Mytilus edulis: one gene and its partner. The protein of the gene in region 1 interacts with the protein of each later gene in a pairwise test. Links are inferred from orthologs where the notes say so. Each region holds a gene or a part of one and is shown on either strand. Other genes may lie near its edges.

Region 1 (17,524 bases):
ATTGGGAAGTCACCAAGAGGAGGGGTTGTTCCTTTAATAGTATGAGGCAGACTTTATACAGGAACTTCTTCTCAGGAAGAAAGATAAGATGTTAGAAATATCCTTTAACCTTACTTTCGACTATATAGATGATGTTCTCTCACTAAATAATTAAAAAAAATGGTGACTATGTTGAACGCATCCGATCCCATCGAACTAGAGATAAAGGATGCAACAGATACAGCTAAGTCTGGCTCATATTTCCATGTACCTCTCGAAATTGACAATGGGGGTCAGTTTACCCTTATGATGCCCCATATCCCCCTTTAGGTAAATCACATGTTGAATAGTAGAAATACTAAAATTATTTCAGTATAAATAAACAAATGATCATGTCCAGTATTAGCATGTGATATTTTCCCCTATACGTACAAAAAGCAAAAAAATTGCGTAGGTTACATGCAGTGGTGGTATCAGCCATTCTTAAAATTTTCTCCACCCTCTTTAATTAATTACATGCTGGACAAGGCAGAATAAGAACTCTTCTAACGTTATTCATGTAAACTTCTAATCAACATATGTAGCGGCTTTTACTTAACTGAAGTCTGTTTTCAATAAAGTATATTACAATAAGTTGCATGGATTTCGTAGCTTATTTCAAAACAAATAAAAATATGTATATGTCTGACATTAATTTCTATAATAAATGAAATCAAAGTACTGAAGTACTGAACATCGGATGACCGCAAGTTCTTGTGGATGGTCCGACAAGCACTTGTCTCAGAAAAAAATTCACATCTCTATTCATGAAAGTGAGGTTTATGTACAGATATCATTTTTCAAGTTCGTGCGTGGATGATAAATTAATGACAGGGAATTTTCCTTACCTTTATGACTATTATAGCGTAGTGATACAAATCAGTACACTCTGGGTTATTGTTATATAGTATACTGATACTTGTATATTACAGTTACATGTATATATAATTTTGATGCATTTGTATATCATTTTATTCCACTATCTATACTATTAAACGAGAAGACCTCATTTTGTGTGTCGCTTCTCTTCCTTCTACAATAAATCAATCATCATGCCTCTCACGGTGTCTTATAGGTAACGTGTATAGTCGCATTTGTCATCCATTCTTATGATTACTCAGATTGAGATATTTTGGGAGAAAAACCACAAAAAAAGAGTCCGGATATGATTCCGTCATCATAATGATAGAACTTCCGGTTTGAAACACGCACAAATACAACCAATCGTATGATAGATAACAAAAAATAAAAAATAAATAAGCCAATCAGAGCGGTCTCTATATCATGGTGTTTAGATCGCAAGAACTACAACTATTTTACCTCCTTATAGAGGACATTTATTTTTCGCGTTTATCTACATGTAAACTACGATTATACTACTTTAATATATAAAGACTCTCTGTATTCTGTCTACTGTTTTCTTTGAAATGTTTACTATTTAAGGGGTCATACCACTTGCATATATATATATCAAAATAAGTGAAACATACTCAACTTCACCTAAAACTACCTCTACCAAAAACTTTAACCTTAAGATGGACAGACGGACGACCGAACGAACAAACGCACGGATGCACAGACTAGAAAACACAATTCTCATAAATGGGACATACAAATTTATTGTTGAAATGGAAAATAGTGATTTTGCAAAAATGAAAGTAAGGTATAGATTAGAGGGAGACAGGACCTTTTTCGGTGCGTCGGGATCGGGTGATTTTAAGATCGGGATTTGGGGATTGATCCTTACGGGTCCGGATCCGGGAATATATTTTTCGATTTCAATATTTCGGGATATGAATTTCTTTAAATATTGCATCTCGGGATTTCGAGATCAGGACCCCTCCGACCACCCCTCAAATAAGCCTTAGTCTGTTTTAGTAATTTATACAAGATTCCCACAAGATTAATATCCTATACCATTGGCATGTTAATAAGGCTCTCAAAAGAAAAAGCACTGATGGATTGTCCTTGAAGCATATTTTATTAGACTAATAATCATGATAATGGTCTATATATAAGCAGTAACATTTATTTGATGTTTGAAACGGTGCAAAGTTTTAATTTGATTTGAGTGATTGATTGTTGGTTGCTTAACGTCCAGTGGCAAATATTTCATGCATGTTCAGGACGAGAACAGGTTAAACAATAAATACAATGGGTAGGTCGTGTCATGATAAAGGCCACTTAGGATGATAGTCGGGAAAATTTCGACTGCCACTTTGATTTGACTTTTACTAAAAGAAGCATTGTAGCAAAGGAGAAGAATAATTGTGGTCTGAGACCAGAATCACGAAAATAATTAAATTTAACAAAAAGGAAACAAATATCGGACTTTGGAAAAAGGGAGAGGGCTTTTGATACCTTTTATGAAATTCTCCATACATAATATATTTTCCAAAAAATCATACTACAACAGTTCACAAGCTGTATATACCCGCGATTTCGCGGATGTGTTCTAGTACAAATAAAAGTGCAGTGCAAATGCATGGTGAACATGTCTCTCAGAGTGACTCCACGCAGAGTTATCCGTTCCTTAAGATTGCAAACGTTCTAGAGATATTCTTCAGTATGCGTGTGCATAGATATTAATGATTTTTTAATTTTTAATATTATTAATCTATCTTCTTTAAAAAGTATTTGATGAGTATTCATTGAAGAAATGAATTTATAACAAGCGATAAGGAACTTGATGACGTTTACGTATTCATCATGTTTACAGATCAGTTAAAAATCCAAAACGAATATTACGTGAATGGAAATCTAGACGATAGCAATACACCGGAATGCCCTGTAAAAATACAATTTTAGATACATGTATGTCTTGTTGAAAAAAAATATATTTTTTCATAACCTGCCGTAAAAATAGTAAAATATATCTATATAAATATCTTAAATCTAATATAAATAACAAAATGGAATATCACACATATAACGAAGCAAGTTTAACAAAAATTATAAAAGCGATCATTGTCTTTTGTTATGTAGAAACTGGAAGATATACAAAAATAGTGTCAAAAAATAGCACATGGATGCCCCATTCGCACTATCATTTTCTAAAAATGATCAGTTGACAGTGAAATTGGGGTCCATCTCTAGTTTGACATCACATTACAAAGATCATATCATTGGAAACATGTCACAGTACTAAGTTGCAAGTTGATTGGACTCCAACTTCATCCTCAAATATTTCTTGCCTTCATTTCATATTGTATTGCGGCTCCCTGCAAGATTCAGGTTCTGTTCGCTTTCTGATGTAACCGCTGTTTTCTAGATCCATGTTTCTCATTTGTTTTTAAGTTCGTTTTGTGTTTTTTCTGTTCCCGGGATTGTATTTTGTCGATTTATTGCCCTTCTTTTATATTCTCTTAGTGTTGCAATCCATTTGTAATTTAGTAATTTGTTTTAAACTTGACTTTTTTTTTAATATATTTAAGGACTTTTTATCTAATTTTACAAACTACTTTAAATTGTATCCCAGTGAGGAATAAGAAACCGTAACATAAGAAACAAATGAGAAATGTATCCATGGGACACAGATGATGCCCCCAGCTTGCATATGATATAAGGTTAGAAAGGGACAAAACCGAAGAACATTGGACCAAACTGCTTGTAAAAACCGAAGGGTAAAGATTGTTTTAATTTGTTTAGTAAACATTGCATTGTATAGAGCATTAGTTAGAGTTGATGTAATTGTTAAAATTTGTTTTTTTAAATTAAATTTATCTTCCTTTGTCCATAATTGTAGTTGATTATTATTTTTTTTTTAAATTGGAGTTATCTTCCTTTGTCCATAGTTGTAGTTGATTCAAAGTTTTTGTATTTTGTATAAGTTTCATAATATTTGGTTGAAGCAAACTAAACTTAGAGAATGGATACAAGCTTTGGGATGTACGCACGAACGGACGGACGTATATACGTACAGACGGACAATGGTAAACCTAATGCCTCCTCCACTACGACGGGGGAAATAAAAACAAAAAAACAAAACCCAGCAGCCACATACTCAATTATGTGCGTTACATTGTTTGCTATATCCTACATATTGGTATAAGATAAGATAAGATATTTTTATTCCAATCAAAGGGCCCATAAAGAGCAAAGCAATTTCTTATTACAATGATTTTTATAATTGTTACAATAATGAAACAATAATGACACAACTTGATCATAAACATGAATTTAACTATATAATTTCTTAGATATTAATCTACAACCAGATCAGAGCCATATCCATAAAAAGGCATATATGTAACAATATATTTATTATTAACAGGCAAATATTCTCAACATCTTTAATAAAACAATATCTATACTATATTGCTAGTTTTCTCAGTTCAAAACATTTATTAATATAAATAGCAATATTTTTCAATACCTCTAGGTTTTCTTGAATAAAAAGCCAATTAAATTTGGCACTTGTGCTTAACTTTTCAAAATTTTTACACCCTACTGAAATATTATCATAAAATTCTTTTATGTTGTCCCAAAAAAACTCAAAGTCTTACACTGATAATAAAATTAAGAATGGAAATGGTGAATATATCAAAAATTAAAGACAGACAACAAACCGACGAAAGAGCACACCGAATGCCACCAATGGGCCTTCAACACAGCAAGAAAATCCTGAAGCCATAGGTGGTCCTCAGCTGGTCGCTAAATAAAATTGTGTACTAGTTCAGTTAAAATCCAAAACATAGAAATGAACTAAAATGGAAAATAAAAATCAAGACTAACAAAAGCAGGAGGCTCTTGATGTTTGTGAGATCCCCCCTCCCTCGTAGCAAATGCAGAATGAAGAAACACACATATATATAGCAATACGCACACTAAAACTCAGTTTAAAAGAAGTCGAGTCCGATGTCAGAATAGGTAACAAAAGGAACTAAGCAAAATGACAATTGAACATAAATGAACAAAGATAAAATTGAGAATGGAAATGGGGAATGTGCCAAAGAGACAACAACCCGACCATAGAAAAAAACAACAGCAAAAGATCACCAACAGGTCTTCAATGTAGCGAGAAATTCCCGCACCCGGAGGCGTCCTTCAACTGGCCCCTAAACAAATATATACTAGTTCAGTGATAATGAACGCCATACTAATTTCCAAATTGTACACAAGAAACTAAAATTAAAATAATACAAGACTAACAAAGGCCAGAGGCTCCTGACTTGGGACAGGCGCAAAAATGCGGCGGGGTTAAACATGTTTGTGAGATCTCAACCCTCCCCCTATACCTCTAGCCAATGTAGAAAAGTAAACGCATAACAATACGCACATTAAAATTCAGTTCAAGAGAAGTCCGAGTCTGATGTCAGAAGATGTAACCAAAGAAAATAAACAAAATGATGACTACTACCATGCCAGCTTCAGACATCAATTAAACTGATTGAAAGATTATGTCTTCATCATATGAAAATCTAGTTCAATCCCTCCCATTAGGGGTTTAGTATTATACCATCATAACATATAAGAGAAGAACATAATTATTGACCTGACAACAGTTTTGTAACTTTTTCCTCTCCGAATAATTCTGTTTATTGTTTAGTTAGCTTTTGAGGTAAATGCCAACATTTTTGTGCTTTGTCACTGAAAGAATATATATTACCATCAAATATTGGATGTGAAATACCTGAACGTTTAAGATGTCTACGTGTTGATTTATAGTTACGAATGCTGTCCTTGTACCGATGATAAATTTAATAAATGTTTTGATTAGTTTATGACCTATATATTAAGCGTTGAGACCAAAATACGGTTGAAAAAAAATAATTAAAACAGAACTTGCGCGCGTTTCAGATAAATAAGGGATTTGAAAAAAGTGCAAAGTTCCATTTTAAGAGAATCAATATTTGTTCAAGCAGTAACAGCAAAAAAGTATTTTCAACAACTTGAGAAACATGAATTAGATTTAGCTACCTCTAATTTACCTATCTGTTAAATTAATATGATGGTTTTGATAACTTGCAGCGTGCACTTTTCTAGGATAACTTATTACACCTATTCCTCGAATGCCAACATAATTTTACAGGCAACTTTATTTTTGTTAGCTCAAAAGATGTAAGCACTTAAGCAATATACCAATAGTTCGAGCCCAGGTTATAAAGGCTAAAATATTAATTTCCCAGATCATCCTCCACTAACCTCTCTACCAAAAATCAAATATTGGAATAGTATAATGTTGCTCTATTATGTCACATCCCTAGGGGAGAGCCTATATGAGTGTCTTGATTTGGGGGACTTCGTTTTTTTCTTTCTTTCAATAAGTTTTTTCATAACAAAATCTCCCCAGCTAACACATAATATTTTCATGATATTATTGACTGGTTATATATATGTTTTTCAAAAATATTTACCAAAACATATTTTAAAGACATTTTTTTACATCAGAAATGATGCATTAATGATATTTTAACAATAATATTTCGTCCCAATGTTTGATTGCTAATATAAACACATTTTTTGTAAATATTTTTTTATAATGAATAATAAATATTCTTTGCTGATGTTTTTAAAACGTTAAATAGACAGTTTTATAAATGAGAACAATTGTATGTCGAGGGGATATTTCTTTGCAATATTCAATCAATATCTGATGGACATTTTTATATAACATTTAATATATATATTTTTTAGATGTGTAAAAGAAATATTTATAAAACATTTTTGATTTACATCTATGTAAAGCATATATCTTTATTCTCATAAACCAAAATCCATGGTACAGAGATATAAACAATTAATAATATAACATATAGTCAGAATTAATACAAATGTATGATCTACAACTGGAAAAATATTTCCAGCTACATGTAATATAAAACGAAACGCATTATGCATGTATACAACATTATATAAAAAAGTTATTAAACAATGTTTCCCCTAAGAGTCCAGCTGTTTATTAATCAGCATAGGTTTGATGTATAATAAAATATCTTTTTGATATGTAACATCAATATACTTTTCTTGTCCTAATCAAAAATATAAAAATGGTAATATCTAATGAATATTTCAATAACATCATAACAATATATTTTTTCGATTTTATTTAGAAAATATTAGTTAAAGACTGTTTCATAATAGTTTTAAGATATATGTTTAATAGATATTTGTAAGATGTACAGCATGCTAGAAATGTTCTCCAAATGTTTGTCAGTGATATTTGAATGAAGCACATGTTTGATATGAAAAAAGAAATATTTTATAAACATTTTTACATAATATTTTTAATTGATATTTGTAAGATGTACGACAAATGTTTTTCTTATGTTTGTTAGTGATATTTGTGTGAAGTCCATGATGTTTGATATGAAAAAGAAATATTTTTTATATAATTTTTTAATCAGATTAACATGAATGTCTCCTCATTTTTGATAGAAAAGTCTTAACAATTCTAATCTAACTTAAATGAAAATTAAAATCAAGTCAAAAGAAAAATTATCTAGCGAATAACGATGGTGTTCTAAGAGCATTCAAGGCCGTAGCTACCCTTGAGGCAAGTGAGGCAATGCCTCACTAAAATTTCAACACTGATTTTTTTTATACATTTATATAAATATAATAGTCATTTGTTGTTCTGTCTCAACCTTGATTTCTATAACTTGGCATCATTCCTTTTAAACTATTCTTCCTGGATATAACTCAGCATCTTAACGGGTGATGTTTCTCGATTACATTAACCTAGTAACGATAATCATAATGGATCTCTAGTTAAAAACAGGCTCTTGCAGAAAAAGGAAAAGCGACACTGAAGGTAAATAAGGAATAATTCTAGTAAACTAGTTTTTTTTTAACAGAGTCTGAGTATTGCATACAACTTCATTAGTACAATCCAAAAACGATAAGTAGACTGACAAATGAAGTACTGGTCTTCGGAAGGGGGCAGTCCTGTCTGCGTATTCATTTCTCCGTTTCACCAACTTTTGACAAATCAAGTACTGGGCATCGCAAGGGGGCAGTCCTGTTAAACTGGTCCGCCGTTCTATCTATAGCTTCGCACCGTCAGTGTAGCGATAAGTGAACACAACAGGGGTCCAGTTTACAGTCCTGTCTGCGTATTCATTTCACGAACTTTAATCTTTTTCTTTACAGATTATTAAAATATAAATAATATGAAACCTCCATGGATTAGTTTTTATCCATGTTTCTTTAACCTTAAAAATTGAAAGAATATCCCATATTCCAATTTGATATTATTGAGGATCGAATGATAGAACCTTTAACACAGGATTTTGTCTTTACTTATTCTGGACTACGGAATTTCGTTTCTTTAAATTCGGGGTTTCGGAACACCCCTAACCCCTAAATTTATAGATTCTGGAACTAAAATACCACCAACTATTTCCAGAAATAATCGGAAATTACGGACTTACATGTAAACGTCAAAAACTCCAGTCCAATTTCCCCTGTACCCATACCAGATATACTTACTCTATAGATAAAATCATATACCTGTATCTTATCTCATTCTATCCCTAGTTTGTATACTCTTTGTCAGCATAAAAGCGAGTTTAATATTTTGAAACTGCGACTGTATATGATGGTGCTTACAGGAAAGCTTAATTCCAAAATACAAATACAAAACTGTTACTAGTCTACCGATGCTGCTACCGAATTGCTGATGGAGAAGGAATTGGAAGGAGACATTGATCATTGTGTTGATGATAATTTGCTACCTTTAGAAACACAGACTGCCCTGAAACGACTGAAAACTTGGATAAGAGCATGCATGAGTGGCGAGAGATTGTGCGGTCTTGCCATGCTCCGTGTTTATCGCGATAAGGATATCAGCAGACCAAATTATGATTCTGAAACGATTTGACTGAACCGGCAATAGAAAAATTTGGCAAACTCTAATCAATCGATGTTCTATGTTCTGACAGCAGACTCAAATCAGTGATATTTGGATGATTATCTTACATATAAATTTAAATAAAGTTGTTAAAAATTTGGTGTTCGTGAATGTCTTGAAATATGAAAAATTTGTATAAAAAGTGTCCAAATTCAAAACATTATCAAACTCTCTAAAAATGCCTAGAATGCAGGATTTTGCACCATTCATTTCATACCCTCCAAAAAAAAATTTCGACTCGCTTCGCTCGGCTCAATTATTTTGCCTCACAATTCTAATCTAACTTAAATGAAAATTCAAATCAAGTCAAAAGAAAAATTATCTAGCGAATAACGATTGTGTTCTAAGAGCATAATCCCCATTGAGGACCCAGTAAAAAATCAAAATGATAAAGTCATACCAAATAGGACTACGATAATCTGTGCCTAGAACTAGAAAATTCTTTCTATTTTGCCTAATTCAAAGTTTTTTAAACAGTGTTTATAAAAAATATGATTGATATTTCATGCCAATAAAGAAATATAAGCCAACATTGTGCCAACAATATGCCAACGTATTAGGTACTTATCTCACCCCCTTTGTACCACATACTTGAAAATTATATTATTCCAATGTTCTAACAAAAAATGTGCTCTTCCTTCTCTTTATCTAACATTTTCAAATCTGTGTAGTCATTTAAATATCTGAATAATTTTATGCACAAACAAAAAATATTTAAAACCAGCACAAAACAACAAATACAATTTGAATATACTTTCATTTTTTCAATTTCTTGTAAATCAACACATCATTACACGAGTGAATTTTCCTACTCTATTATAATATTAACCAGTAGAATTTATGAATTGACTTATAATCATTCAATCCAATGCCTTAACTTTTATTAAAATGAGAATAAGGTTGACAGACTGTATTTAAAAAAAACCATTAAGTAGACATCAATAAAACATATCCTAGACATTAGAAGAATATTTTGTCCTGATGTTTGAAAGATGTTGTCTGGATATTTTCAATTGAAACTGAATTATATCAAAATTATGTTATTTCAATATAAAATCAAGATATTTAAAAATAATGCTCTTTAAACATTCAGAACAAATATTTCCAGAAAATATGCTATTCACATGAGTACAGCCAGACATATCACGTCAAAAACATGTTTTTGAATGATATTTTGGTGATATTTTGCAAGATATTTTAAAAATATCAATAAAATGTTTTTGTGCTACCTGGGTCTACGGTTTTTATATTTTGTTCATATATATACCAGTTTTCTCTATTCTTTAACGCTTCCTAAGAATAAAATATCAGATTATTTTGTCTGGTACACTGACATCGACTTTTATCTCGGTCAAACCATGATTTGATTAGTTACCATATTTGGTAAATTATCTCTTTTTTCGTCAAATTTATTTTTAGAAGGGGTTTCCCGAAATTTGCGATGCTACGTCATTTTCGTGATGAGGTCACCTCATTCGGAAAAATAGACTCGTTCTGGAATTAGACAATATGGCGGCCACCGAAAAGGGAAGGAAATGATATACAAATCTGATTAATTTTGACTATAAAACCCTTATGCAATTATCGATAATGTTTCCTGAGTATATAATAGCATGACCTAAAAGTACAAATAATGTAGCGTAGCATTTGTAGTGCCATGAGCGGTGTAGGGGGCTAATATACACCCTTTATTTTGTTCAAATGAAGAATGGGCGCACAACAAGGAAAAGAAGGAAAAAGTAGTAGCTCAAGTAAACCTAAGAGTAAAACAAAAGATCAGTCTCGACCATCACCCGGAAATCCTTCTATATTTACAGATCCGACTGGTAAGTTTGTGAACCCTTTATAGGACATGACTCATATCTCCACTCGAGATTTATAAGAAGATTTACTTTATCTCTTGAAATAATTTACAAAAAACTCTACAGGCAAACGAACCTCATATTCATTTTACTAGAGAAAAAGTGTTCTTGTAATGCATTGCATTTGCTCAAATTTATAATTGAAAACAATTCCTTTTGAAGGCAGCCAGAAGTAACATGGTCATGCATGAAGGAGTTTTGTGAGGAAATGTAACTTATTTAGTTGTCTGAAATTGGTTTGAAGCTTAAAACCTCAAAAGTAACCCAGCTTTATTTCTTGATGTCATACACCTGAAACATGTTCCTCTTCATATAATACAATCTACATGTCGTGTATATAAGAAATCTGTCTTTGTTAAGAACAAAATAGATTGGAACTAAGGTATCCGGTCGGTATGGCCCCAAAATGATCCGGCCCATAGTCACAGGGGATGAAATTAGCAGGGGCCCACAGGCCAATGGCCCCTAAAATTTTGTTTGGGCTACTTAAATTTTTGCTTTTCTTGTATAGAACTATATATGTGGACCACAAAATTTAAGCTGTGGGCTACCATTGCCAAAGTCTTAAGTTCTATCCCTGTTAAGTTGATCCGGCCCAATTCGATCCGGCCCTACGAAGATCCCTCCCAAAAATTAAATATGGAATAAACTATATTGACTTTGGAGGGTTTGGTGATAAATTTTATCAGTCTAAAAAAGTATCGATGATGGATGACAACAGGTATAAGTGAAGTATAAGAATATATTTGAGTACCAGTCAATTACATGTAGCATTCAATTATTTTAAGTTGAAAACCGCACAAATACAGTCGAGAACTTCAAGGCAGCTTTCCAAACAGTCAATAGGTATCTCTCTCTGGTATCTTTATATAGATAGATGAGAGATAGGAAGATGTGGTGTGAGTGCCAATGAGACAACTCTCTATCCAAATAACAATTTATAAAAGTAAACCATTATAGGTCAATGTACGGCCTTCAACAGTCCCTCCCCGTAATTGATCTTTCCTACTTGCGAGGGCCTGAATTCCTAACACGATAAAAACTTCATGAATCCTGGATTTTGAATTGTGCCCTGTAGTTGAGGTGACCAATCAGCTATTAGCTAAATTTTGTTGAGATAAGTAAATCCCGAGCTAATTCCGAATGGTTGATTGAAGATTTTTCATTGTCTATGCATTCAGGCGTTAATGTAGTAAGCAGAATACAATGACTGAATTATTCGGGTTAGACAATTGCTAATTTTCTCTATTGTCAATGCTTTGGATCAAAAGTATTTGAGAAATATAAAATCTTACAGATACTGCCATCTGCCAAATTGGGCGGTTCGTAACAGAGTACAAACAGCCGATTTCCCCCAGTGAATAACTAGTCATCACATACATTCCCGTAAGATTTTGAGGTTACTTAGAATACATGTATGTCTGATGCCACCATTCAAAATTTTTTATGCCCCTGCCATAGCGAAGCGGGCATTAAGTTTTACCCTTGTCCGTCTGTATGTCCCAAAATTGATTTCCTTTAGCTAGCTTTAGGTTGCCTCTACCAAATGTTATGAAACTTCTACAGTCTACACAATGTTTATTGTTTGAATTTTGGTGGTGTCACTTGAATATTTCTAGAGTTGTGTACCTTTACATATGATAAAAATGCTGAATTTATCTATTCCATTCTTTAACTTTAGTTTCCCTAAATCAAATAGGATATTTAACTTATGCACAATATAAAAAAGACAATGTGGTATGATTGCCAATGAGACAACTCTCCACAAGAGACCAAATGACTCGGAAATTAACAACTATAATATGGCTGTCAACAATGAGCATAATGAGCATAGCCTATACCCCATAGTCAGTTATAAAGGGACCCAAAATGACAAATGTAAAACAATTCAAACAAGAAATGCTTGTTACCACAAAACACAGATCAAGTTTGAATTTGGGTGGCATCACTTTTACTGTTAAAGAGTTACATGTATGCCCTATACAAATTCCTGAATTTTTCATTTCTGTTCTCTAACTTAAGTTTGCCTCAACTAACTGTTATGAAACTTATACACAATACTTATTTCCACATTTGGGTAGTGTCACTTTTACTGTTCTTCAGTTATGTCCATTTATAACTTTATATGATATGGAAGCAGGGCATCATCTATGTGTTCCATGGACACATTCCCCATTTATTGTCTTTTAATATTGTATAAAAGTTCCAAATATGATTTTTGGGTTTTATTTCATACTGGTAAATCCTCTGATCTTGACCTCTTTTCATTGTTCGTTGGTTGATGTAGAGTTCCCTGGTTAAGTTTGTTTCTTAGATTCTGTATGCTATAGGTAAACTATGTTCGATGTATAGAATGATTGAAAGGTGTACATGTCTGTCTGGCAGAGATAATCTGACCTTGACCTCATTTTCATGGTTCATTGATCACTGTTAAGTTTTCCGGGTCAAGTTTGTTTCTTTGTTGTACAATAGGTCAACTATATTTAAAGCATACTTGTTGTATGGAATGATAGTAAGCTTAAGGTGTACAAAAGTGTTTCCAGTTTGATTTATCTGACAATGACCTCCCCCCCCCCCCCCCCCCCCCTAATTTTTTTTCACCTCACACTTCCCTTATTCCAAAAAGAAATTCTTTCCCTCAAAATAATCTCAATTCAAATTTCTAATGGAGTTTGCAACCATGATAAACTAGTTAAATTTTACCGCTTTTGTCAGTACACTCTTAATAGGAGTGATCGTCTTATAAGTCCATTTGTTTATGCATATGCCTCTTGTGTTTTGGGCAAAAACTAAGGAAAACGGTGAGAAACTGTTTACTTATTATACTTTTACTTTGATTCAAACATTTGACAGGAGTTACATAATACATAATTTAATTCCTTATTTATACAGTTGACTGTTGGACAGTTCTGATGATATTTAGTTATTTGGAAAAACTCTTGTTATTTTTAGCTGCATAATGTGATTCATGAGCTAGAGAAGACTGATATGATTCAGGACATCTTTTCCTAAGTTTTGAAAATAAGTTAATAAGTACACAATAAGACAACCTTACTGGGGGTCTCATTGGGGGGTTCCGATCCCGGATCCCGCTTACTGTTTTGTCAGATTCCCGTATCCTGCTTACACTATATACGTAAGCAATTCTCCTTTTTATGTCATTTCCCGGGTCCTGCTAGACCTCATTTCCCGTTTTCACGACACAATAATTTGACTTTCACGTGTCACGCTTACAAAATATCAGCAATCCCGCGTCACGCTTAGACCCTAATGAGACCCACCTTACTGGGAGTGAGGATACACTTAAAAATATGAATCAACCCTTCCCCTCCAAAAAACAAACTTATTTTCTGTAAATTCAGAAATTATTGCGATGTTTTATTAATGGGCCTCTGTAAGTATTGCATATATCTCACATTTTTGTCTGTTCTTCAACAATCTCAATAATTTCTGAATTTATAGTAAATTTATTGGAAGACAAATTCACAACATGCAAGGTAGATTGTACAGTATACATGTATGTAACATGGTACAAATCTACATGTAGCTGGTGTGGTTGATTGAGGATAGGTCAGTGAAGTTTTGTGACTGGAATGTGATAATGTTAGATTGAACTTACCAAAATTTGTGACAAGTGATTGTACAAGTGGGCACAATTTTTACTATTACAATTCACATGTTTATTTACTGAAATATAATTAATTGATATTTGCACTTGACACCTTTTGATGTGTGACCAAGTATGATATAACAGGATTGTGTATTGATTTTATTATTATGTTGCAACACAACATGATAAACCTGCTGAGATTATTAAAAATTCCTGTTAAATTCATACCGTATTGTTGATATAAAAGTCTTTGATTCAAAAACCATTCATCAAACATCTGAGTCATGTTTCCTCAATATTCTCTTTTTTTAAGCAGACAGCTTCCAGGCTTTGTTTCTACAAGCTTAATTAGGCCTATGATAAAACTATATAGTTTTAGGCAATTCTGTCTTTCGTATTAAGTAAGGAAGGTTCAGGTGTAGACATATGTCACAGTTGTATAAATTATTTTTTGGTTATAAGTAATTTAAATCTTGTCAATTTTCTACAACTATATGCGTTTTCTGTAAATTAGAGGAAAAAACTACCTTACACTTTGAGGTAGTCAATGTACATGTACATGTGAATGAAGTTGAGGAATTGTCTTACATTTATATTGATTGTAATTGATTGTTTGAAATTGGAAGTTCTTCTTGTTTGAGGGTCCTCGTTTGCTAAGAGGTCTAAGTAGTTTTAGTTTTTACTACTGTCATCACTAGCTAGTATATAGCCAGTCAACACTGAGGTTGTAAGTTGAAACCACGCTCATTCAGGTTCACAATTTTAAATGACTAGGATTGTCCATTTTCCTATTGAAGGTCATGATCTTCTCTAGGCACTCCAACTCTCTCCACCTTTAAATTTAAAAACTGACAATCAATCAAACATCTTCTTTTTTGACTGAGTGAAACAGAATCTTGACATAGTCCTTTGAAATCCCGGCTAGCTTCAAATAAGTAAACCTTATAAGGTTTACTGCCCTAATACCAAAAGACTTTTAGAATTATTGTTCAATTTAAATGAAATCAATTATTTATTTTCAAAATGTCATCACTAGTCCCACAATTGTATGTTTTAAAGTTTGAAAATTTATTATATATTTCCATTCTTCATGAAAATTGAAGTTTTGTAAAACAAAATTTAAGATATGCTCTCCTCTAGGCTCTAACTAAATTTAAGATATGCTCTCCTCTAGTCTCTAACAAAATTTAAGATATGCTCTCCTCTAGGCTCTAACTAAATTTAAGATATGCTCTTCTCTAGTCTCTAACAAAATTTAAGATATGCTCTCCTCTAGGCTCTAACTAAATTTAAGATATGCTCTCCTCTAGTCTCTAACAAAATTTAAGATATGCTCTCCTCTAGGCTCTAACTAAATTTAAGATATGCTCTCCTCTAGGCTCTAACTTAATTTCAAATTGGAAAGGGGGGAAATTAAAATATTCCCTTGCTTCCTCCAGTGTTTGTACAAGAAAGTGTGAAGAACATCTATTCAGTTTGGAATGGCCTAAATTATACATGTATGATAAGTTTATTCTAATCATCCTCTATATCTGTATACAACAGATACTTCAATTTGATGACTTACATTTGTATCGGAAGGCAAAGGCACCAGATGACATAACATAGCCTGTAAAATACTTAGTAAATTGATACATTATTGTAGCAGGCATTAGATAATTCGCAGGGAATGTAATAATTACTGATCTGTACGTGTGACTCATAGAGTTACTTTAACTTGTATTTAAGTATTCTTTAGTGTCATTTTCGGTACTCTTTTCTCATCATTAAACAGCTGTAAGTAATGTTGTCCTGATTGCGTTCATTAAAATATATTTCTCCCCTTTCAGTTGACAGTTTTGAGAGTCTCTGACATAACTTTGTTATCACTGGTTATCACTGGAAGGTCACCTCATAGCAGAGTTTTTAGCTGATAAAATTTCAAACTTTGATCTTATCATTGTTACTTACACAAGAAAATAAGGCACAATGTGTGGGATTAAATTATATTCTCATATCTATTTTATTTGCACTTGCATCAATTGTCCAGCATTTGCAATAATAAACACATGCAAAAACTTCAGAAGTTACAGTATAAAATCATTAAAAAAAAGAATGTTTTATTTTTTTGCAAGATTGTCTCCAAGTTTTTCTTTAAAAAAAATACCTGTTCTGACTTAAAAATATCGATTTTATATATATGCCATCAAACCCCATTGGGATATATATCTTCATTCATATAAAGATCAAATAAAAATGAGACTGTTATAAAGACATGTGTTTTCCTTTAATTGACCTGTCACATGTGCACTCATGTGTGCTAACAAGGAATTATTTGTAAAGAGCCAAATGGCTTAGAGGTCAGTTTGTTGACTTTGTACATGAAAAAAAGTGAATCAATTATATCAGAAATTAAGAGATTAAAATAAGAAAAAGTCAGACCAGTTATGTGCCATTGGCCCATGTTGTGTGTATTTATAAATACTCCCAAAGGCAATTTAGGTTGATTTCATCAGATATTAATGTCTCTAATGTCTTATAAAATATGGTTTACACTCACTGTATCCATATCTGCAGCCAATTGTATTTAAAAAATGTCATTATACCAGGGTGTCATAAGAAAACAAGTAGCTAAATATATAGGTATAGAGAGAATTGACATAGACATTGTTTTTATTATACTTGAAGGTGTAACCCATTAAAAGGTTGTTGTCCAACAGAGGATGACCGTAAGACTAGAGGATGACCATTAATGAAGCAATTATCTGTCAATGCTTGTTAGTGATTGATAAATAATTACGGACTTCTAATAAACAAATGGTCATCGACAATTTAGAATTGATTCTGAAGAGAGAACTGGACAAATTATAAACCAGACTTGTAGTAGTCATCAATTATTGATCTATTTATTGCTTAGATCTAAATGGCCTAATTGTATACATGTAGTATAATTACAACTAATTCTGACAATTAGATTCCAGTTTTAAAATAAAATGCCATGTAATGAATGCACCTGTGCTTTTTTATAGTGCAAGGTGTAACTTTCACATTTTGCACACACAAATGTCATGAATGTATTTTTAAAAATCACACTTTATAAATAGTGTATAGAACGAAATTGCTACTTCAATAACTTGTATATGTATTGAACGTAAAAATTTGTACACAATTTACCATTTTTCCATAAACATGTTTTATAATAAT
Region 2 (17,352 bases), on another chromosome or scaffold:
TAAATGAAAACTTGATAAAAATCGTGTTTTCATGATTCTAGCTGAAAAAATGTAATTATAAGTATTGAATGCTTCTTTTTGTAACTTTATAGGGTTGCTTCCGCGCTTCATACAAAATGTACTTCGGTCAACGCTTTTACACCCCAATAAATTTACAAAAAGCAGCATTCAATTCTTAAATAAATTTTGTGTGTCAGAATTGCTTTTCTGGATTAACTATCAGTAGGAAGGCCTAAAAAAACATTTGAAAGACAAGAATGTTAGCCTCTTTGTAGTTATAAACAAGTGTTAAATATTTGTTCTGTCTTTTTGATTGTGTACTACTAACCACACAAAATTCATCTCTGTCAAGGTAGCCATCTTTGTCTACATCACTTAACTCCCAAATATTTTTTAAAACATCTACAGGTAACTTGGAATTCATTAACATCTGAAAAATAGAATAATAACATACTAGTCTATCATACTCAGAACAAAAAGTTACTCTATATATACTACTAGTTTACATGAAGCATCATCTAATCATTACATTTTATTGCAAATAATTTTAAATTATATTTTAAATTTATGCTTATCAGGTTATATTTTTTTCAGTTTTTGAAAACAGTACATTTAATAATGCCAACACAAGAAAACTTATGAAGTTGATGGAAATTAACTGATTCAAAATTATCAGGATAACAATTTTAATATTTTATATTATCTACAAGTCTAACTTTGTCTCCATTAACACTGAGCTTATTCTCTGTGAATACTTACGGGTCTAACTTTATCTCCTGACAACAGTCCATTAACAGGAACCAAACTATCAAACAACTGATCATATTTGGTTTTCTCTACAGCCTACAAAATAACCAAACACAAATTATTCTCATAATATTGTTTAGAACTACATGTTTATTATTTTCAATATCTAAATTCATTTCGTTATCTTTTTAATCTAAATGATCATATTTTGAATTGAAATATGTATTAAGGTTTATGACCCCTTCTGTAGCCATTTTTGTACGAACTTTTCAAACTTCAATTGTATAACCAGATGCTCCGCAGGGCGTAGCTTTATACGACCGCAGAGGTTGAACCCTGAACGGTTGGGGCAAGTATGGACACAACATTCAAGCTGGATTCAGCTCTAAATTTGGATTGTGATTAAATAGTTGACACAGCATAGGTTTCTGACACAGAATGAATGTGTGTTCTAATGACCTTAAAATTTTTGTTTTCTCTTAGAGCAATTCACTATGCTGTTGAATATTAATCCTCTCAAAAAAATGTTTGAAGAAATTTTCTTTTTTATTTATGAAATTTCAAATGAGAAAAATTGAACCCAATTTTTTTAATCACATCCCCCTTTCCCTTATTCCAAAACTAATCTCAATTAAAATTTCTAATGGAGTTTGCAACAATAACTACTCATTTAAATACATCATAAAATATTAAGATGTAAAAAAAACTGCTTGTTATCACTGAATGGTAAAGATTATTTCAATTTATCAGTTGGTAGTAAAAAGTGAATATACATTGTATATTGTATATAACAAAGATTTAAGTTGATTCTGGACAAAGAAAGATAACTCCAATTAAAAAAAAATCTTGCTATTGCACAATATTTTGCAATTAGATATTTCTTGCTTACTATTCTGGACAAAGAAAGATAACTCTAATTAAAAAAAAATTTGCTATTTCACAATATTGTGCAATTAGATATTTCTTGCCATTGCGCAATACTGTGCAATTGAAAAGACTTGCTATTGCACAATACTTAATATAATAATTTTAGATCCTGATTTGGACCAACTTGAAAACTGGGCCCATAATAAAAAATCTAAGTACATTTTTGGATTCAGCATATCAAAGAACCCCAAGAATTCAATTTTTGTTAAAATCAGACTAAGTTTAATTTTGGACCCTTTGGACTTTAGTGTAGACCAATTTGAAAACAGGACCAAAAATGAAGAATCTACATACACAGTTAGATTTGGTATATCAAAGAACCCCATTTATTCAATTTTTGATGAAATCAAACAAAGTTTAATGTTGGACCCCGATTTGGACCAACTTGAAAACTGGGCCAATAATCAAGAATCTAAGTACATTTTTAGATTCAGCATATCAAAGAACCTAACTGATTCATTTTTTGTCAAAATCAAACTAAGTTTAATTTTGGACCCTTTGGACCTTAATGTAGACCAATTTGAAAACGGGACCAAAAGTTAAGAATCTACATACACAGTCATGACAGTTAGATTCGGCATATCAAAGAACCCCAATTATTCAATTTTGATGAAATCAAACAAAGTTTAATTTTGGACCCTTTGGGCCCCTTATTATGTTGGGACAAAAACTCCCAAAATCAATACCAACCTTCCTTTTATGGTCATAAACCTTGTGTTTAAATTTCATAGATTTCTATTTACTTATACTAACGTTATGGTGCGAAAACCAAGAAAAATGCTTATTTGGGTCCCTTTTTGGCCCCTAATTCCTAAACTGTTGGGACCTTAACTCCCAAAATCAATACCAACCTTCCTTTTGTAGTCATTAACATTGTGTTTAAATTTCATTGATTTCTATTTACTTAAACTAAAGTTATTGTGCGAAAACCAAGAATAATGCTTATTTGGGCCCTTTTTTGGCCCCTAATTCCTAAACTGTTGAAACCAAAACTCCCAAAATCAATCCCAACCGTTCTTTTGTGGTCATAAACCTTGTGTCAAAATTTCATAGATTTCTATTAACTTAAACTAAAGTTATAGTGCGAAAACCAAGAAAATGCTTATTTGGGCCCTTTTTGGCCCCTAATTCCTAAAATGTTGGGACCAAAACTCCCAAAATCAATACCAACCTTCCTTTTGTGGTCATAAACCTTGTGTTAAAATTTCATAGATTTCCATTCACTTTTACTAAAGTTAGAGTGCGAAAACTAAAAGTATTCGGACGACGACGACGACGCCAACGTGATAGCAATATACGACGAAAAATTTTTCAAATTTTGCGGTCGTATAAAAACTACAGATATAATGAAAAATAGAGATAGGCCATTTTGTATATATACCAAGGGGAAACTTGATGCAAAGCATTATTATTTACTGTTTCATTGAATTTAATAGAAAAAGAGTACTTTGTTGCAAATAAACCAAGATTTTTATAGAAAATCCACAGCCTTTAATACAGAGATTTTTGTTATAAAATTTGAAACAGATTACTCATTTGCTTTTCTATGATGTGATAGTGTTTATTTTTTACAGAAAATTCTAACCAACCTGTAAATTCCAAAATACCTCATGCTGTTTTACTAAAGTGGAGTGCACCCTGAAAGGTGTACTTGATTTGTTCCATATTTTTATTTGTTTTAACCAATAAATACATCAATAAACTTGTATTAAGGAAATCAATGCTAGCACTGCATGCAATAATCCTATATCAATCAGTCATCAAATTGACAAAGGTTAAAAAAAATAAATATGAAGTTCAGTTGAATAATAAATTGAATAATAGCACTGTAAAACTCCATCAACTAGTCAGGCTGCTATGAACCAAGAAACTGATTATACAAAGACCATGCAATTGGCTTTACACACAGATTGGGTAAATGTAACATCCAGGGGGAGGAGACTGACCTACTGACCCTCAAATAACATACTAATTAATGTGTAAAAGTATTAAAGAGATCTGGTATCATATTCTGCTTTCTCTCTCCTACAGTGATTGTTTATGACATGTATCTGATTAAGAAAAGATTAGTGTGCCTCCTAGTGAGATTCCAGTTGTAACTTCAAAGTGTCAAATATGTATAATTAACCTCAAGATATAACAAGTGGTCCGTGTATGTTAATTAATTGCATCCATGATGTCAGCATCTTTATTATAAAATTAATTACTTGTAAACTGAAATGCTTTTCTGTTTGTATAAACAATACTTAAATTACATATAAGTAAATAATGTGTTCCTTTGGTTTTCATAATTTGATACAAAGAAATACTAACTGAAACTTTCCATGGTACACTGGTAGCATTCTGTACAGCTGGCTCAGGCTTTGGAGTCAAATCAACTGGTCCCTGAAAATGAAAATCATAAAATACAAGCCATTGTCCTTATTATATTGTGTTAAAATGTTATTGTAAGATGTGTGTTTATGTTATTTTTTATTTGTTTCAAATTCTTTTAGTGAAAAAGATTCATTGTATTGAAAAATCCAAATAATAGCAGAATAATTATCTACTGCAATCACAAATATAAGTATTTCTTTACCCAAGCAAACAAGATAACAGCAATGACTTAAAAAAAACCTGAGTTTTAAGATAAACTGGTAACTCTACTAAAGAGATACTCCTGTAAAAAGTAAAGATCACCATACCATATAATAAGCTATGAAAGGCATTCACATATTGTGCCATTATGGAGTCAGGCTATCTTAACAATGTACATGTGTTATTCATTGATGTTTGTCCTTGTTTGTGCTTCTTTTTTTCATAGAGTTGTGTGTCAACTGTACATGTATGTATAAGCAATGAAAATTCAAAATTAAATGAGTAATTTTATACATACAACATTAGGTTGTGGTGCATCAATTATCAGATTCTGTAAATTTAAGTCCTGGTTGCTCTGTGATAGTGCAACCAACTTTAAAGCAACATAAAAGCCTGGTTTCTCTAAGTATCCTTTTCCGGTTGGATCTGACAAATCCCATATCTGCAAAAGCATAAAATTTATTCTTATCATACAAACTTCATCAAATACTTGCAAATGATTTCTTATCAAATGAGCTTCATAGCTTGCTGTTTGGTGTGAGCCAAGTCTCCATGTTGAAGGCCGTTTTTTTTTTTTAACCTAAAATGGTTTTCTTTTACAAAATGTGACTTGGATGGAGAATTGGAAGTCATACCATATCTTTTTTATATCTATTTACCAATTTTGTACTCATTGCATGTCATCTATAATGGCTCACATTTTGATTGAACAACATTTTCTACCAGGTACATGTATACCACCAATCACAACTATCCCCAATCTCATAAATAAATGTACTCAGAAAACTATATAACCATATTGCTAGTCTGTTCGGCTTGAACCTGTTAAGGTTCTGTAATGTTTTCTTCTAAAGCTCTGTGGCTAGTTGCATATTGATGTGCAGTAATTAGCAGTTTCATTCTCTCTTTTATAAACTATTCAGAATTATAGCAAACCATCAAATCCTATATTTCTACAGGAGGAAATTAGAGGTTGAGTGTCTTATTGTTCTTTGTGGTCATTACTAAAATGCATTTTTTTGTTTTTTTCCCTTTACACACAAAATTCAATAACAGCCATTTTATCTAATTTTCTAAAATCTAAAAGCTGCAAGAAATACTACAATATATAAGATAAATCAGCTAATTTTTATACCAAAAGACAGTTAAATTGTATTGAGCATGATGGATTTAAAGAACAATCATTTACTTTTTGCAGATAAAAATTACAATACCTGTCCCAAAACTGAGTCTTTGAGTCCAGATTTCTTCAAGAAATTTGCAGCATCTAAAGCTCCTATGCTCCCTGTTCCTTTTGGATCAGCCTATAAATACATAAAAATATATAATTATTTACAAATATACTTTCAAGAGCGAGTCTTTTTAAAAACGAGGCAATTCAAATAAATATCAAAACATGGTCAGAAAAAAATGACCAACCTTACCATGCTATTCTGAACAAACCATCATCCTGAGCTAGAAATAGTATGTCTTTTGTTTCTGTATGTCTGATAATTCAAAAGAACTACAGACATGACAGATAAGTTTTGGTTAGAATGAAGCAAATTACAGAGTTATCACCCCTTAATTGTTTATTCATAGTGCATTTCAAACAAACTGTATCTTCTATTACCAGAACAGGAAACGAAAAAGAAAGTTATTTTCGCACATTTCTTCCTTTTATGAACTGAAATATTAATCAATGTCAATTTATGTAGGTCTCTATTTGTCAAGTTTTTAACACTGCCTGATTAAGTTACGTGTTGTACAGCACATGCATACATATGTATAATCTTATGTTTTTATCTTTAATTCTGATAACCCACCATGCAAGAGCTGTATAGCCAGTCAAGGTCTTTTACACTCCCATTTATATAATTCTGTTGCTTAGCTACATTTGTATACATCACTTTAAAATAGTGCTTTGCTAAGTAATAGTACATGTATCTGATGTAGTGATCTAACATTAAACAATACCTGATTATAATATGCTTCATAAACTAATGCATGGTTACCAGCAATCTGAAATTTTTAAAAATACACAGTATCAATAAATGAAATTCAAACTATAAATTGTGTTATCAATTTTTTTTTTCTTACATATGTAGAGTACTAGAAGTTTCAAAAGAGCCTGTATTGCTCATTCAGCATCAAGATCTTTGTCTTATGAACGGTCATCTTCATCTAACAAACCTTCATAAATTTTTGTTATCTTGCTTACATACTTCTTACCTTTTTTTTTTACATGTTAGAATTAAAAAACATGAATATACATGTACATGTAAAAATTATAATATGATGTGAGTAAAATTAACATCCTTTGGACAGATAAAAAAACAGCTGATCTGCAAGGTATACGATCTGGCAGTACTTGACTATACAATGTATCTCATATTCAGTGTTACAACCCAACATAAAGCCGACAAGGAAAGGTAATACTTGACTAATGAAAGCTGTATTTTTATATAGCCAAGTTAGTTAAGTGGTGTTTGGTGCTGGAAACAGTAATACCACAATGTATCAGATATGCAGAGGTTCAAATGAGTATAAGCTGGTTCATTCGGCTAGATAACCATGATAACAAGTTTACCCATAGAGTCAGTTAGACCTGGGTTCATTTGCCATGTACTTTTACGAAGAAAAAATAATTAAATATTGATTGTAGAAAGGTTTATAAACTTATTCAGATATTTGTATGGTAAATATTAAAAAACAAAATGAAGAATATATACATTTTTTTGAAAATCAAAAAGGTTTTTTCAAATGAACTAATCATATTAGTCACCTTGTGACGGAAAACATAATTTATATCTGGTAGCAGCATTACAATCATGACAATATTTTCATCAAACTTCAACATATATTTTTTTTTAAATATTTTAAATTAAACAACAAGACATCCATGAAATCTAAATAATATAAATACGATATTCAGGCAAACAGAACCAAGGGCAAACGGGTATGTGGTGGAATAGGCACAAGGGAGAACAAACATTGAATCGTTCAAATCCTGCTTTATGCTAATCATGCAAATGCAAATTTGCACATCTAGCTTTGTTGGACTAAAATTTGAGAAAAGCAAACAAAGATGTACTATATGAACTTATTCTTCTTCTTTGTTACAAGTCGAACTCTGTACTAAAGTGTAAAATATGTGTTAAGTGATCAAACTAGAAGGGGACATGATCAAATAATAGTACAATGTAGTATCAGAAAAAAATTGTGTGTTGGGATATAATGTATGGCAGCTAAGTTTGTTTTAGTAAGATTCTTTAACAATTAAACTTATTTAGAAAGAATCAAATACACAAGAAGAAAGAACAATTATATCTTACGCCCAGAAGGAGTTATAATTTGCGTGTACTTGAGGTCAATTGTCTAGTGCAAAATATGATAAACGACTCGACCATTGAAATACATTTTCTTACTATTTGCTTAATTGTTTACGACAAAGTGTGCATAATGGCGAAAAGTATCGCCTTTTAATGAATAACAGAGTTTCAAACCTGTGGAAGTGGTGGAAAATTTGACATCCTTAACCGGAAATGTTCGTGTGCTGTCTAATTTTTATGTGAAAAAACAGTATCGGTCCAACTGGAATTTCCGGGTGAATTAGATTCAAATTCGTGTTCCTAGTAAACTGTAAATCTTAGCAAGACCGATTGATACAATTAGAGAATTTGTGTTCTTGGCAATCTCAGTTATTCGAGGATTTACTGTAACATTTATTTTCTATCTATGAAAAAGTTACCTAAAACTGTGGTACACACCGAATAACAGCGTAGCACTAATAGTCCAGTCTAAACTAAAAGTTAGGTTAATTAACAGTTTGCACCACTTCTTTTATATTATTTTGAGAATAAAAAAATAATTTTACAGTTATTGCTTACTACGTAATTCTCAATTACATTTTAGGGGAGTAAATCATGAAAAAACGTTGATGATGTCATGATCACATGACCAAAATTATGTCAGTTTATAAAAGAAGTGTTACGTCCAAAATGTAATTATTTAATGTCAGAAATTAAAACAAAAGCAAACTTTTGAGAGTCAGATAGACTATATGCCAGGCAGCAGTTTGATTTAATTATAGTACAGCATGTACAGAATGTGGTCCACAATGGCGGATTTAAGGAGCAGAGCCGGCCCAGGTCCTCAAGATATTGAGCTACATCATGATTATATACTTTAATGCAAAGACTTTTTACAACTTGCACTCCAAATGTTGCCAGTTGTCGCCGGTCCCCTTTATTTTAAATTCTCGATCTGCATCTGGTTCATTGAAACTATTTTTTACTGATTATTTTTTTCAAGTTAAACTGTGGTTAATTGGTATTTTTAATTGGTCACAGAGACGTAGATTTCATTCAGGCAGCGATGGCAACCATCGGCCGCTCACCAAACGGCTTGTCAAAGAAATAGGAAGGTATAAGAGAGATACGATCAGTGGCGGGTCCAGGGGGGGGGGGTTCCGGGGGTTGGAACCCCTTTTTTTGGACGATCAATGCATTTGGATGGGAGCTCATAGTTGGAACCCCCCTTTTTACTCTAGATTGGGACCCCCTTTTTGAAATGGCTGGATCCGCCCCTGAAGATGTGCAAAGTTCATGTATATCACATATCTACTGTATAAACTTAAGATGGTTAAACAAATTGACCTCAATACCTTTACACACGTGTTACTCGTTTTTGACTGAAAGACAGAGTAAATAAAATAGTTCATTTTTGTTTTATAAAAGTGACAAATGTATACTTAAATAGCATGCTTTAAGAACGAATAATTTATATAATTTAAAAAAATCATTGATTGTTCCAAGATGTTAGAAATTAAAATTTTTGGCATTATACCTATTATGGTTGTTTGTTTTTGTTCCCACATTGGTGTCAATATAATGGAATTTGTATACGACTGTCAAACAAGTGTGAGGTTTAGCTTGTCATGACACCAGGTTTAATCCACCATTTTCTATATTAGAATATACCTGTACCAAGTCAGGAATGTGACAGTTGTTATCCATTCGTTTGATGTGTTTGAGATTTTGATTTAGTCAATTTGATTAGGAACTCCCCATTTTTGAATTTTCAGTTTTTTTTAATTTTAATTTTATGTGCTCTGCATTTGAACTTTTATACGATCATATTACTCACAGGCGTTTAAACCAAGCAATATAAAAAAGAAGATGTGGTATGATTGCCAATGAGACAACTATCCACAAAAGACCAAAATGACACAGACATTAACAACTATAGGTCACCGTACGGCCTTCAACAATGAACAAAGCCCATACCGCATAGTCAGCTATAATAGGCCCCGATAAGACAATGTAAAACAATTCAAACGAGAAAACTAACGGCCTTATTTATGTAAAAAAAATGAACGAAAAACAAATATGTAACACATAAACAAACGACAACCACTGAATTACAGGCTCCTGAGCCTACATGACCCACCGCTTTGAATGCGGTTATACAATTGTTTGCATGTAAATGGTATAATTCAACAATTATGCATTTTTGATGTTCTGTTTTTTCCTTCTTATATATTTGATGTCTTTCCCTCAGTATTAGTGTGTGACCCGGATTGTTTTAGTTGAATCGATTCATGACTATTAAATAGTGGTATTCTACTATGGCTTTGTTAAATATTACTAATTTAAAAAATCTATACTACAAAAAAACCAAACGACAATCTAATATGTGAGGTTTTTTGGTATTTTTTCATGATGAAACATGTGAAATTACAGACTGCAGTATTAGACAAAATAAAAGGAAACCCTTGTCCATTCGTTTGGTGTGCCGTATGAGCTTTTGATTTTGTCATTTGATAAGGGATTTCCGTGTTGAAGCTTCCTCAAAGTTCAGTATTTTTGTGAGTTTATTTTTTTTGTTAGATTGATCGAGTCAATACAAATATAATACGATATATCAAAATTGATTTGGTTAGTTAAATGCTGCTCTCACAATTACCGCTTCAAACCTACCAGTATTTTAACTTTTTTCACAGGGGTAATGTTTTTCTATAATGATCCCAATATTTCATATATTCTATCTCACCCGATTATGCGGTTGATAAATGACTTCTTTTGACTTCCTTAGCTTATGTAAGTAATCTATCTTGAGCTAAATTGTAAAATATTTATTCGTTCATTGTATGTTAACTTGTTTTTGTAAATATGTCTTTTATTTTTAGTTAATCCATTTCAATCTAATTTTTTTAGGTATTTTATAGTGTGTCTTTTTATGTTATTTTGTTACACTTCTTCCTCAGGCTAGTGTGAAGGTTAGTGCCTGTTATAACCTTTAAACCTGCTGCATTTGTTTGCACATGGTTGTCGTTTGTTGATGTGGTTCACAAGTGTTTCTCATTTCTCGTTCTTTAAATATATTAAACCGTTGGTTTTCCTGTTTTAATTGTTTTACACTAGTCATTGTGGGGCTTTGTTGCTGCTGTTCGGTGTGAGCCAAGGCTCCGTGTTGAAGGCCGTACTCTGACCTATTGTGGTTTAATTTTACCAATTGTTTCTTGGATGGAGAGTTGTTTCATTAGCACACATACCACATCTTCTCATATCTATCTTAATAAAAATAAGAAACTAGCTTTCATAGATCTGCCTACTCGAATACTAACCATTTTATAACATGATGACGATTGCATGAAGTGTAGTATGCTCTGGTGTTTCTCTTTATATAATATTTACAAGTATTAAACAAGTGTAGATAAGTGTGGATAATATGTTAAGATGTCTGACAGTGTTTTCTGACAAAAATATTTAAATAAGGTTCTATGTTTAACTGTGTTGCACAGTGAAAGTCAAACAGATTCGTTTATTCAGTATCTAATTTTATGTTCAAGACTGTCATGAAGGAAACATTCATCTGATGGATTACCAGATTCTCAACTTTGATTTTGGAAAGAAGCAAAAACTCTAGTTTAGGGAAAAAAAACATATTAGATGCATTTCTGCATGATGTGCTTTTATATATGAGATGGTATTTATGTGATTGCATCTCCCTATCGTTTACGACTGATAATTTAGCTAGTCTGCAATCAATTCCATTGTCATGCCTAATATACTATACTGTGTTACAACTCTAGATTCTACTAACGAGGAAAGGTAACACTAAGCCACCGAAAGCTGAATTGTTAGTTAAGTCTACGTGGTCGATCGGTCTTGAATGCAGACGGTGTTGTCTCGATATACCCATGAACAAATTTGCGGATATACTATTGTTGTGCTGATAATTAGAGTAATTATGAATATAATATGTGTTTGAAGCCGTGTATCCCCTTCACTGGTCATCCAATGGATCTTTAGTAGAGTTGTCACTTGTTTGGACGTACTAAGACCCCTCTACAACGAAATTTGTTTTACATGCACACTATATAAAAATTGCGGTTTTTATAAGTGTTGTCAACGGTTAACCGTTTGAACGACCGAATACCAAATACGCTAACCGGTTAACCGGATATTTTTTCACTTTTGATAGATTTTAACTTATTTGTATTGAAATCATCAATTATGTTTTCTTTAAAAATTGTCGTCTTGGTAATTAAGTTGACAGATCAATTGTCCAGTATATTGATTGCTATTGCTTATCCAAAAATAAACAATTAATTAGAACTTGTCTCTCAGCTCGGGGCAATTTCTTAAAGAAACATAATTAGTATATAAATGTTTTTTTAACAGAAACTTTAAATCAGTAATACGATTAAATTTTACGATTTACTTCATTATTTCGTTTTTGATCTAATATTGTGTAGACCTACATCTGAATTTGCAATCTCCTAGTCTTACTTTAAACGGAATGCTAACTCAAAAATTGTGATATGCAAACCAGTGTGAATGTAATCGATGTATACTTGATAGTACGAGTAACATGCTAAATCATTTTAAATTGAAGCATTATTTTCGGAGACAACAAGCCAAAGTGAAAGAAACATCAGTTTCAGACAATATTAAATTCTACGAGATCAAGAAGGTTTTTTTTCAATCTGAAGTTAGTACAAACGCCATAGTTGATACAGTGTATTTGATTATTAAAAGTCAAACTTCGCCAGGAATCTTCATAGAAAATCCTTACAACACCAAAGGACAAACTTCAGTTCATCGTATTATAAAAGCGTAAATGTATGACTTGGATAGAAGGTTGCCACATTGACACTCATACCACATCTTCTTATATCTATGTGTAGGGTACTATAGATAAGGCTATCAAACATCAACTTAAACTACCGGTTAATCGGTCGAACGATTATCCGAGTAACCGGTTAGGCAAAAGTGTACGATTTGACAACACTAGTTTTTATCCAACGCAATCATTATCATAGGTTTGAACATTGTTTTTAATTTAGACTTGTTTATATATACTAGTATATATGTATATATATTGGTGTTTAACGTTAAGTATAATCAGAAGACTATCAAAAAGTAATAACCGTTGACCAGTTGTTTCAACCCGTTTGATAATTAGGCCAATATATATTTATAAATACAGCTGTACTAACATTTGGACATTTCTTACAGAGGCTAAGTTATTTAGCTGATATATGTTTTACTTTTTTACCAAACAATATAACTGCTTTGGTATTTTATCATAGTACTTGTGTAGGACTGTACAAGTTATCATTTGTTTTCCCCATTTATATTTAATTGATAACGGAATACAATATTGAAAGGACACTTCGAACATTCCTGACTGAATGAGAAATTAGAAATTACGGAAGCATAATAAGCTCCTGATTTTTTTTTTTATTGATATGGGATACTAGTATTTAAAAAGATATGTTTCACGATAAGTATAACCAGTATATCACCTGAATCAAGGCAAGAACCAAACACTGAGGTAATCGCATGAGCTCCAAAAGAGAGGCGAAAGATACCAAAGGAACATTCAAACTCATACGTCGAAAACGAACTAACAACGTCATGGCGCCAAAAGGAGCGAAACAGGTAGCGTCTCGGAGTAAACATCTCCTGTTATGCATGCATTATCCGCAATGGGTATCCTCACTCAGTCAAAATGTCACTATTGGGGAATAGGTGTGGTTGCTTTTTAGCCTTTCTTTCCTTACGAAAAAGTTTAATAAAGACCATAAGGCAGGCCACATACCAAAGACATATGAAGTCCATATAACAGATATGCGGCCTATTGGAGTAATTACTATCCTTGGACCGATGTTTAGGTTGCGACATGGAAAATTATATATTCTGTCCATTAATTTTTAGGTTGGGTTTGATTTATAGACTATCCTGAATAACCAGGTCATTTTGGAACCTCGGTATTTCTCTGGATAGTTGTTTGTGGTGTTCATTGAAATAAATCATTTACTTTTTGTAGTCAATGTTGTACCTCCTTTGTGGGTGCGTTTTTGAATTCACTACCTCCTGGAAGGGTGATTGAAGGATACAGCAAGCTATAAAGGGCCCCAAAAATTACTAGTGTAAAACCATTCAAAAGGGAAAACCAACAGTTTAATCTATATAAAAGCGAGAAACGAGAAACACTTATGAACCACATCAACAAACGACAACTACTGAACATCAGGTTCCTGACTTAGGATAGGTGCAAACATAGAAAGACACACTATAAAATATCAATTGAAATGGCTTAACTCAATCAAAAGACATATAAAGGTCAAGTTACAGCAAATTGGCTCTGTCACAGATTTCAGTAAAATTTTGCATACAACTTTGAAAACTACAACCGAAAATCGAATTCTACTCCATAGATTGTTCTTAAAAAACTATATCTTGTTGATACATGAATTTCCGTTTTAATGGTGCAAAATAAAGATAGGGTCACCGACTTTGTTTTTACGGTATACATCATTCACAGTCGTGTTCTTTGTGAAAAAATCCCACGTCGGTGACCATAAGATTATTTTATATCATTAAAACAGAATTTTATGTGTCAACAACAAATAGTTTTTAAGAAAAATCTATGGAGTAGAATTAGAGATTTGATGTTTTTAAGCCAAAATTTTATGTGCTATCTATACAAATAATAACTTCTATTGAAAGAAATCAATCTGTAATATTTCAGGTAATAAAAGAGATAAACGCATTATTTTTTCGATTTTCATTTTTAGTTCATCGAGTCAAGGTTGCATGCAAAATTTTAGAAAAATCTGCCACATAGCCCATTTACTGTTCCTTGACCGTAACACAAGTGAACATACACTGAACGAATATTATTGATATATGGTACAATGTAAATACAAAATCAATAGAATATGGGATGAATAATTAAAGTAACAGTATTATACCGCTGTGAAATGTTAACGATTTCAGAAAAACAACAATAACCTTGAACAAAAATCCGCCATTTACAATAATATCATACACCGGTAAATGAAAATAATTTTGTTGTTAGGTATACAGTATAAAAAGAGAAAGGAAATATTTTTACAAATAATTTTGATGTTCATAGTACGAAGAAGTGAAAGTTTATAGTAACACCAAACACGTATCAAAGCTGGTATATAGACCAGATATAACCCTGAATAAGAAAACATTAAATAACAAAAAAAGATAATTACAAATAGTATCAACAGGTCAAATTAACAAGAAAGTACGATTTGAGAGTACTCGCAGTTACTGACAGCTAGTTAAAAGCCAAAACAATTAATGATTAAAATCATGCACCAGAGACTAAAAGCAACTAAAACACATCCCAGGTATTTAGTATTTTAACGTCATGGACAGTCAAAGAAGACAGGATTTGTGCAATGCCAAAAATTAATGTATCGACAGGTAGTAGAATAACCTCTTAATAGATAAAAATGAACGTGGGTGTGTCTTTATATATCCCGTTTGAAAAGAATACAAATTTAGTTATGTTTTAATTTGCTGATGACAAAATCGATATTAGTGCCAATGTAAACTATATTCAAAGATCTAATTACAACATTGGTAAGAAAACCTTTACTAATATGTTTGTGTAATGGTTCATTGAGTTTACACGGATCACATATAAGCCTGTACCTTTGCTAACTATTTACTTTTTTTTATATAGATTATTTGCCTCTTACGGTATGTCTTACTGAAGGGTTATTAGAAAACAAACTTTACAAATGCTTTTTCGTTAATTGCTACTGTGTAATTTAAGTTATGGCTTAAGTCGTTTCCATTTACAAAAATTCAGAAAAAACAATTTAACCTGATAATTTGTTCGAATAATTTCTTAACATCTTATTTTATGACATACGTATAACTTTCTGAATCATAATCGTTCAAAAGGAGGCGAAAGATATCAGAGGGACATTCGAACTCATATGTCGAAAATAAAAAGACAACGCCATGGCTTAAAAAGATAAAAAAAAAAAACCAAACCAATAGACAAACAATAGTACACAAAACACAACAAGGAAAACATGAGTTTAGGAAAGTATTCTCATACTGCTAACATATTTTTATTTATGAAAAATGTCATTAAATGGCATTCGTAGGTCACCAATATTAGTGTCTATAGGTAAGTGAATAATTGTAATGATAAAAAGACGTTAAATCAATAGAAAATAAATAAGAGAAATGAGATCTTTTGACGAACCAACGCTTATCCATTGTATCTCCGTTATATAGGCAACTGTTCGACTAGGAACGAGGAAAAGTGTTTATTAATCGTGAGGTCGACGTGTTCATCCAAATGGTGAAGTTGAAATCATCCCTTCGTAAATTTTACGGACGTCATCACTTGTTGGTTGGCCGTTATGGAATAACCGTTTCACAGATGATATCTGATATGTTCCTTATGTCGTAACTACAATCCACTTCCCTTTTCAACACGGATGTGACCTACCGAATTAGACTATTTACTGGGTTTGTAATAACATGAGCAACACGACGGATGCCACATGTGGAGCAGGATCTGCCTACCCTTCTGGAGCACCTGATATCACCCCCAGTTTTTTGGTGGGTTCGTGTTGCTTAGTCTTTAGTTTTCTATGTTGTGTCTTTTGTATTATTATTTGTCTGTTTGTCTTTTTATTTTTAGCCATGGCGTTGTCAGTTTATTTTCGATCTATGAGTTTGACTGTCCCTTTGGTATCTTTCGCCCCTCTTTTACAGTAACCTGAGACTACTATTACTGTTACAGTAGTCTCTACAGTTACAATGTAGAAAATAAATGTGTTTAACTGTTAGTTTTGCGCACACATTGTTGTCATTTTTTTTGGAATTGCATACGACTGTCATTCAATTGAGAGGTTTAGCTAGCTATAAAACAAGGTTTAATCCAACAGTTTCTACACATGGAATTGCATGTACCATGTCAGGAATATGAAAGTTGTTTTCATTATGCTTGATGTATTCAAGCTTTTGATTTTGTCATTTAAAAAGGGACTTTCCGTTTTGAATTTTCCATGAAGTTCAGTATTTTTGTTATTTTGCTTTTTCATCGGCGGATAAATGGGGAAGCCCACAATATTTGTGTACTATACTGGTACTGTGACTAACAATTAGAAAAACAACATACTCCGCCTACTTTTTAGGCTTATACCTCGAATTTGGCATAAGCGGTCATCTTAGTACCAGAATCTATGACAAACGAGACAAGTTGTAAATTTTCCTCCACCTTAACAGCAATTACCATCTTCACCTGCATATGAAATATACATGTCCCAACTCATTCGGCATTCTAGAGATTGCAGCTGCTACTCAGACTTTATAAAACATCACCAGTGGTTGATCAAAAGGTTGATAAACTAGGGTTATTTCAGAGACATCTCGTCTTTTTTTCTAAAAAGAATGTTCCTCGGAAGATATCACGACCTTGTTGATAAATATTTCGTATCAACTTCACAAATGATACACGATGGTCTTGAAGTATAAATTCTTTGTACTGACGTTGTAACCATCTTATTATTTTTCTTTGTTTATTTCTAAATTTTACTGTTTGGTCATTTTTTTTTTGTAATATCCTTTTGGTGTTGCTAAGTATTTTTACCTCTCGCTATTGTGTAATATTGTACGATGGTCATTTTGTGTATTCTTGTCTTTCTAATGCTAATGTGCTTTGACTTTATGCCATTTGGTTTTTCTTTGTTGACATAGTTGTTTTATTTTATAGTGAATAAGACTACAATGCAATGTTGAGTGATGTACCCTATCGTTAGACATATTT

What was found.
Region 2: the proteins of tyrosine-protein kinase Abl-like (region 1) and epidermal growth factor receptor substrate 15-like 1 interact in a two-hybrid assay, tested with the Caenorhabditis elegans proteins (2 studies listed by BioGRID). The link is inferred for Mytilus edulis from reciprocal best matches to the Caenorhabditis elegans genes abl-1 and ehs-1.

Annotation. Positions count from the first base shown.
Region 1 is NC_092345.1:30,622,305-30,639,828, reverse strand, and holds the start of tyrosine-protein kinase Abl-like, read left to right. Parts: upstream 1-10,342; 5' UTR 10,343-10,577; coding exon 10,578-10,695; intron 10,696-17,524. UniProt on the Caenorhabditis elegans protein: Functions downstream of migratory protein mig-13 and is involved in Q neuroblast migration during larval development.
Region 2 is NC_092344.1:33,430,438-33,447,789, forward strand, and holds the start of epidermal growth factor receptor substrate 15-like 1, read right to left. Parts: upstream 7,800-17,352; 5' UTR 7,764-7,799; coding exon 7,737-7,763; intron 6,253-7,736; coding exon 6,208-6,252; intron 5,556-6,207; coding exon 5,466-5,555; intron 4,694-5,465; coding exon 4,550-4,693; intron 4,060-4,549; coding exon 3,988-4,059; intron 844-3,987; coding exon 760-843; intron 431-759; coding exon 329-430; intron 1-328.